Saccharomyces cerevisiae S288C: one gene and its partner. Changing the gene in region 2 together with the main gene of any one other region gives a genetic interaction. Each region holds a gene or a part of one and is shown on either strand. Other genes may lie near its edges.

Region 1 (4,264 bases), on a different chromosome or scaffold from region 2:
GTTAGAACCATCCCTACTATCTTTCGCGTCGCCAATCACTATGGGATTGTTTGTCCACTTCAGTCTATTCTTATAAAACCAATATTTCATCCTGGTCCACGCAGATCGCCACCCCGATCTTACAGCATCTTCATCCGTTATGAAATCATCACGAAATGGATCTTCACTAAAATCATTCAGCTCGTTATCGAGCGACTCTAAATCATTCTGAAGTTCCATCTATAGAGAGTGTTATACTGTACCTCTTTTCAGATATATGTAATTACCTCGCCTCACTTATTTTGCTTATTTGTGGTTTGTTAGGCAGTTTGCATATCGTACCAATGTTTTTTTATAACTTCATGTCTTTTCTTTTTTTTCATTTTTAGCATCGTACGCAGATATCTTGTCTCGTTATGATATTTTGTGAGATAGGTATCCAAAATTAATAAGAGAAAATGTCGTATTGTGTTCACAATTCACCTGATTGTTTGACTAGTCCAACCCCTGGTATAATTGTCACTTAATATATTCTTAGCTTCCAGGTGATGTTTTATTCCATTATTTATGTTATGTATATATAATCGTAACTCTTAGAGCAAAAAGTAAAAAAAAAGGTGGTACTTACCGAGGGAGAATATATACAAATTTATTCGTAAATGTAAATAATTAATTGAAGCAGAGCTAAAAGAAAAATACAAGAAAATTTATTTACACTCGCTGTTTGGTTCTGATCTTTTGGTATTCACAATTTTAGTGCTGTCCAAAAATATTGCGATGTGCTGATAAAGTACATAGTGTGATCCGACTTCGTCCCAGTCAAAGAAAGGATGAAATATTAGTTAGTACATTTACTGGTTGCTACTGGATGTCCTATCTGAATCTTCCATCTTAGGTACAAAAAGATTAAGAAAGTCAATTGTCCTTAGTTTTAAAAGACAGTTACTTCATGTCTTTAACATCAACGGCAAATTACTTTGAAAAAATGCACTAAAAGTTAACACATGTAGGAGCATTCTAAACATGAAATTTTTAATGGTACTTAGGTTTGCTAACGCATCTTGAAAACTAGCAAAAACCCCATAATTAAAATATTCTTGCTTGTTAAACGAGGCGTCCAAGCCATTGAAAGGTTTTATCAATATTCAACCTCTTACTATAAATGCAGCACACCGTAACAGGTATGAGAAAGATGTGGTATTATTATACAAATTGTACTGACCGCTTTCCTACTAATAAAACCAATGATATCCTAGGGACGCTCGAGTTTTCACATTATAGAACATTTATTATTATTTTCGGCATCAAGCCCCAGAGTTCCTTCGACACGTTCCATTTGTTTCAAAAGGAGCATAAAAGTTTCTTCAACATTATAATCTAACTCGGCACTGCATTCTATAAATGCTGCCTGGTTCCTCTTATCTTGACTGCCAATTGTCGAAGCTAGTTTCTCTCCTTCAGCTTTCGTGACACACCTTTTTACACCTTTTGTACTCCTTCCCAAATCAGCTTTGGTACCCACAAGTATTACCGGGAGGTTATCCTTACCCAGCTGATCTACCAGCTTGTCCCAGAGAATGGGAATAAGATCAAAGCTAGCACGATTTATTATACTATAGCACAGTATTATGCCTCGTACGCCCGTCAACGATTTAATGTTTAATAGAGAAACTTCATCTTGGCCTGCAGTATCTAGAATTTCCAGAGTACAGTCATGACTTTTATAAGGAATTATCCTGGTAAATTCATTTTCAATAGTGGGATAATAGGATTCAACGAACCGCGATTCTACGAAGCGAACCGTTAATGTGGTTTTGCCGACATTTCTAGCTCCTATAAGAGCAATCTTTCTCTGAAAGTTATGTGTGGAGTTCGAAGAAGACATAGTGGCGTATTCCATTATGTCACAGGTTATATCTTTTCTCGCCGTGCCCCAATAAAACTGTTTCGGTAAAGAGACAATTCGAACCAGCCCAAAAGAATGAATATGAAAATATCAATATGCGTCAATGAAAATGGAGGCAAGTTCAATAATTTCACTGGAAATATAACTAGTAATAATTCGTGTAACTGCTGTAGAAATTGTTAGATATTAAACCTGGCAGAAGCGTCTTGTTAATACTTATAGAGAAACCACCAGTAGCGTTCTTCTGTATCTGAAGATAGTGAAAAATCAAAAAAATAAATCTGTATTCAAAAAAAGGTCCTACCCGGATTCGAACCGGGGTTGTCCGGATCAAAACCGAAAGTGATAACCACTACACTATAGGACCAGGACTTCTTGTAATATTTTGTATCTCAAAATGAGGTATGTCAGTATGACAATACGTCATCCTAAACGTTCATAAAACACATATGAAACAACCTTATAACAAAACGAACAACATGAGATAAAACCCGGCCTTCCCTAGCTGAACTACCCAAAAGTATAAATGCCTGAACAATTAGTTTAGATCCGAGATTCCGCGCTTCCACCACTTAGTATGATTCATATTTTATATGAGAAATGGGTGAATGTTGAGATAATTGTTGGGATTCCATTGTTGATAAAGGCTATAATATTAGGTATACAGAATATACTAGAAGTTCTCCTCGAGGATTTAGGAATCCATAAAAGGGAATCTGCAATTCTACACAATTCTATAAATATTATTATCATCGTTTTATATGTTAATATTCATTGATCCTATTACATTATCAATCCTTGCGTTTCAGCTTCCACTAATTTAGATGACTATTTCTCATCATTTGCGTCATCTTCTAACACCGTATATGATAATATACTAGTAACGTAAATACTAGTTAGTAGATGATAGTTGATTTTTATTCCAACATTATATAATATATAAGATAAGTAACATTCCGTGAATTAATCTGATAAACTGTTTTGACAACTGGTTACTTCCCTAAGACTGTTTATATTAGGATTGTCAAGACACTCCGGTATTACTCGAGCCCGTAATACAACATAATATCTACATTCTAGATACCGACATATCAATATAAAAATACTGAATATTGAGACATCTTTTAGATTACGTTTTGGTTGCCGCAAACCAAAAATGCAATTTAAATGGGTGAATAATTTGAATGGTTAGAAATCTATTTGTTGGAATAAAAATCCACTATCGTCTATCAACTAATAGTTATATTATCAATATATTATCATATACGGTGTTAAGATGATGACATAAGTTATGAGAAGCTGTCATCGATGTTAGAGGAAGCTGAAACGCAAGGATTGATAATGTAATAGGATCAATGAATATAAACATATAAAACGGAATGAGGAATAATCGTAATATTAGTATGTAGAAATATAGATTCCATTTTGAGGATTCCTATATCCTCGAGGAGAACTTCTAGTATATTCTGTATACCTAATATTATAGCCTTTATCAACAATGGAATCCCAACAATTATCTAATTACCCACACATTTCTCACTATTCTCGGTAAAGGTTATAATATTAGTGTTGGAATAAAACTCTAAAATACCATCCATTCAGAAGTATTCATGCTACTAGCATTTTATCACATGAGGTGTAAGAAGATGACATAAAGATTGAGATACAGTCATCAAACCTAATGGAAGCGAAATGCAGGGATTGATAATGTAATAAGATAATGAAACATAAGAAACAGAAGGTAGGAGTATTATTATGTAGAAATACCGATTCCATTTTAAGGATTCCTATGTCCTCGAGTAGAACGTCTAGTATATACGAAATATTATACCCTTTAAAAAACAGTGGACCCAACGATAATCACAACATTCACCGATTTCTCACCTGAACAGATCACGATCATCCTTCAGAACATCTTGCTGTAGCCATATTAAATTCCTTTGTCTCTGGACTCTTTCTCGCGCGACTGATCTCCCAATGAAGAACTGCGTCAGGTCATCTCGTCCTCAATTTCTAACCAAAATTGGATGATTTTAGTTCTCACTGACGCTGCTTGAACGTTAACACCGAAAGAGCATGCAATAATCACAGCACGGTAAACCAACTTGTGTCATATTTAAGAGAAATATTAAAACGCTAAGAAGATAGCTCCCATAATAGAAGTACAAGTTATATTTATCGTTGTCCAACTGCAGAAGTTAAATAAAGGTAAATAAATCGAGCTAAGAGAAAAAAAAAGTATAGGCAAAATTCCGACCGGAGCTAGCTTTATCTTGCTCCTCCACCTAAGTCACCTGCTCAGGTCACTCAAGTTCACAATCTTCTGAGAGGATAGATAAAGGAAAAATTGGAACAGATCTTTTCATGGCCTGGCAATTG
Region 2 (4,012 bases):
ACAATCATTACAAGAAGCATTGAATTACTCAAATGAGAAGTACAGGATTTTGGAGGATTTACTAGATTCTTCAAACATTCATCCATCATACACCAAATCTAGGAGAACCATGTCTAATCTAGCTAGAGAAAACGATGAGATTAAGCCCTTGAAAATTGATCTTTCCCCGTCTCCAATAAGAAGAACGAATTCATTATTCACTTCCAGCCCCATGAAAACATATAATCGGGATGGAAATATACCAGAGATGCAGCCGTTACAGGAAAACATATCTCCCGCCTGTCCCACTCCACCCTATCGTTCAAGGGAAACTGAAAAAGAGGATGAAACACTTTCACCAATCTCAGTGGACTTTTCAAGTTATTTATCTTAATTTCTCCTGTGAAATTAAAAGTATTCTCCATATATGGAGCGCGAAGATCACGGCCTAATCCTCATGATTCATTTTATAGATGCTTTATATAATAATTAGAGTACACATAGTTTTCATCATATTTCCGTTAAACTGGTTGTACTGTTTGGCCGTATGTAGAAGTATTATTTTCCATGTCAGAGACTTTTATTTTTTGTATATTTACCTTTATTATGGCTGTATCTTCTCCTAGTATAAAAATATCTGCGTCTGGATTGACTGTTAATAACAACCGCCTATAATAAGTAGATTCTTCACTATTAGGGTTCACAATATCAGCAATACCATTGATAGTAGCGCTCACTTGATTCAATTCACTTTGGTTCAAATCTCGTAAAAAGTTGTTAAATTTTGTAGACTCTGACTCAACAAATGAAAAATCATCTTTACTATGGACGCTTTTTTTTCGAAGAGTTAAATTTTTAGCTGTGATCCAATCGTGAAATAGCAATGCAACGTTTGGGTTGCTCATGACATTACGAAAGGTTACTGATTTCTCGAACACTGTGAATATAATATAGTCATTACAATCTATTTCTATACTATACTCATGTTTATGGAAAGTTTCCGCGGATGAAACAAATATGTAATGCATCAACGAAACAGATGGTATACAATTTGACGAGCATGTCGCCACATGAACATACTTGGAACTTTTAATCAGGCGTAACAGGTCTTTTGGTATTTGTTCATTGAGTTTCATCTTTAAAGGCTTGAGAGATTTGTTTTTTTAAGGTTTACTTTCCTTTGCAGAATGTTGCATAATTTTCACTATCAATTATACGTTTTTCAGATCAGACGCCTGCAACCCTAATTTTCGCACTCTGAACTTCGTATTTATCGTTTATTCAGTATAGAAAAGGAATATCAAATTTGAAATTCTAGATAATATTTATATATATGAGGTATCTAGAAGTGCGTTAACATTAGTGTTAACTGGGCTGCACCCACTTGTGACGTTTAAATTTCTGTCCCGGGCCTTTATCGTTTCTAAGCGCTTTGGTACGTCACAAGAGTACGCCTGATATTTTGTTGTGACATTACGTGTATGACTTATTAATACAATTTTTATGGATGGATAATTAAATCAATTTAATATTACCATTTGATGAAAAAAAGAAGGGAAACAAAACAAACGGTAAAACACTGTTTATTTGAAATGAAATGAAATGAAACAATATTGGATATTGAAACGTTGATATATTGAATTGATTCAATAAGTATTATTATCAAGGCGTAGGTAGCGCTTGCAACTTTTCTTTCTTCAGTTCTGTGATTAGGTCTGCCCAGGACAGTAAAATTTCTTTACAAAGTGGGTGAAATTCGCCTAAGTCAGGATCATTAACAATTGCTTTCAGTAGCTTGTGTAATTTGCTTTCGCGTAGGGCCTTCAAATCAAAAAAGGGCCGTTTGGTGTCAGAATTCTCATATATTCTATTTAATAGTTCATGAGTTTCCTTGATCTCATGCTCAGTAGGAGGTGTTTCTCTCTGGATTAGATTTCTTTGAATCCTGCGGCGAAATAACTGTGAAATTTCTACTCTTCTGGAATAGTCTAATTTAACTTTCTTTTTATTGCCACTGTTTGATTTTCCTCCCGAATTAGCTGTGGGTCTCTTTTTTTTGGACGGTTTGATGTTCGGTTTGCTTTCTTCTTCATTTGATTTCTGGTTATCTTCCGGATCTTCTTTGATGGATATTGAATTTTTTTTTCTTTTATTCACTACTTTTGTTCGACCTACAAAGGGATCTTCTCCGGCAACGATTTTAGAACCTTCACTTTTCTCAAACGCTTTTAGATCACTTAACCTGTTTTCTTCTTCAAACTTTTCTTGTAAAAATACGTTGAAATCATCAAAATTTTTTGCTTCCTTATAAGCATTGACCAATTCCCTTTGGTTTGCATTTTTACTATGTTCTAATATGAAATTGTGAATGCTGTCTTGATCTAGCTCCTTTAATCTACTGGGTTGTTCCCAATAATAAGTTGGATCGTTGAAAAAACAAACAGCAACACAATTGGATTTTCTCTTTCTATATACATCGTTTCGCAGCAAACGCTGTGGAAATACTACAGCTGGCCAAGGTGGAAACGAGCCAACTTTGCATAACACTAAATCGCCTGTTCTAATATCTTTTGTCATAAACTTGCGGACCAAACCAGGGATAGCTAATATCACAAAAGAAATGGAAGTAAAAACAGAAAAAAATAAAAGGGAAAAAAAGCCAGGAGGAGCAACGACTGTAGGTCCTAAAAGAATGCTTGTGAAACTTCCAATATAAGCTTACCAGTAGTCAACTCACAATATGCAATAACAAATATCTGAGAGAAAAATAGATATGTCCAAATCTCTCTGCAGAACTTAACGAAACGTATATTGATATTTTAGCCCCTTTGATGTATTTTTTACAACAGAAGCAACTTTTGTTTATTTACCATTGATTGATTATTCTAGAAAATCAAAAAAAAAAAAAAAAATAAATAAAATAGAAAAGAAAAATACTATAATTATTACCCGCCATTGGATGTTTCAAAGTTCAATTAAGAACAGCTTACCGTAATGTAAATGGAGAGAGACCTTGTTTCTTCCGTATTGTACCAAACTATCAATCTGGAAGAAATCAACACGCTATTGCAGAGTTTTTTAATTGGGGAAGTTTAAGCCATTTTCATTGATAGGTGGTTGAAATAAGGTTATCATCCAAGGCGACTGATAGGGTTTTAAAATGTCCGAATAGTTTAATTTTGCTGCTACTCACTTTACAGTGCGACGTTATTTCTTTTATCTGTTCATTCCCTGACACACCGATGTAACTCTGAGGATTTATCCTACAAGTTATTTTTGTTATCGGAACATGCAGATTGTAAAGATCAGCTATTGCAAATTGGTGAATACAAGTGCCCTCAGAATCGCTCAGTCCTGCTCACACATAAATGCAGACGTTATTATGCTTTCTTGAAGTAAAAATTGATGATTATTAGTTGAATAGTAGTCGCTTTTCCGAAGATGTTACTTGTTAAAATAAAAATCAATTATAACCTATTGACTAGTATTCTCACTACTAGTATACTGCCATACACAATGTAAAGAGTATAACGTAAATGAGGAGTTGACACGAAAGAATTGATAACGTGATGGTGTTGGAACGAAACCCTATCATCATCTATTGACCAGTGTTCATGTTACAAGTGTATTATCATATGCGGTATAAAAAGACGACATAAAGATTGAGAAACAGTCATCTGACTTAATGGAAGCTGAAATGCAAAGATTGATAATGTAATAGGATAAGTAAGCATATAAAACGAAAGGAAAAATAATTGTAATATTATAGTGCAGGACTACCGATTCCACTTTGAGGATTCATATGTCCTCGAGAAGAACTTCAGCATATCCTGCATACATAATGTTATTGCCTTTATCAACTATGGAATTTTAACAATTATCACAAAATTCACCTAGTTCTCAGATCTTTTTTCCAACGATTACTACTGAGGATTGTTTGCCTTAGTTATCGTTCAAATGCTGTTAGCTATTTCCCTAATTAATAACAAGTGCTTGAGATGTCTTATATTTATACTACAGGTTATGGTTTTCG

The links. A genetic interaction does not mean that the proteins touch.
Region 1: mutations in YLR456W (region 2) and RHB1 together harm fitness less than expected from each alone (positive genetic interaction), as found in Saccharomyces cerevisiae (one large-scale study listed by BioGRID).

Annotation. Positions count from the first base shown.
Region 1 is NC_001135.5:166,121-170,384, forward strand, and holds RHB1 (putative GTPase RHB1), read right to left. Parts: upstream 1,880-4,264; coding exon 1,250-1,879; downstream 1-1,249. Other genes in the region: nucleotide diphosphatase/phosphodiesterase NPP1, read right to left, coding at 1-219. UniProt on the Saccharomyces cerevisiae protein: Binds GTP and exhibits intrinsic GTPase activity. Involved in the regulation of arginine and lysine uptake. Acts through the CAN1 permease.
Region 2 is NC_001144.5:1,052,173-1,056,184, reverse strand, and holds YLR456W (pyridoxal 5'-phosphate synthase), read right to left. Parts: upstream 1,116-4,012; coding exon 501-1,115; downstream 1-500. Other genes in the region: NBP1 (Nbp1p), read left to right, coding at 1-373; PDP3 (Pdp3p), read right to left, coding at 1,642-2,556.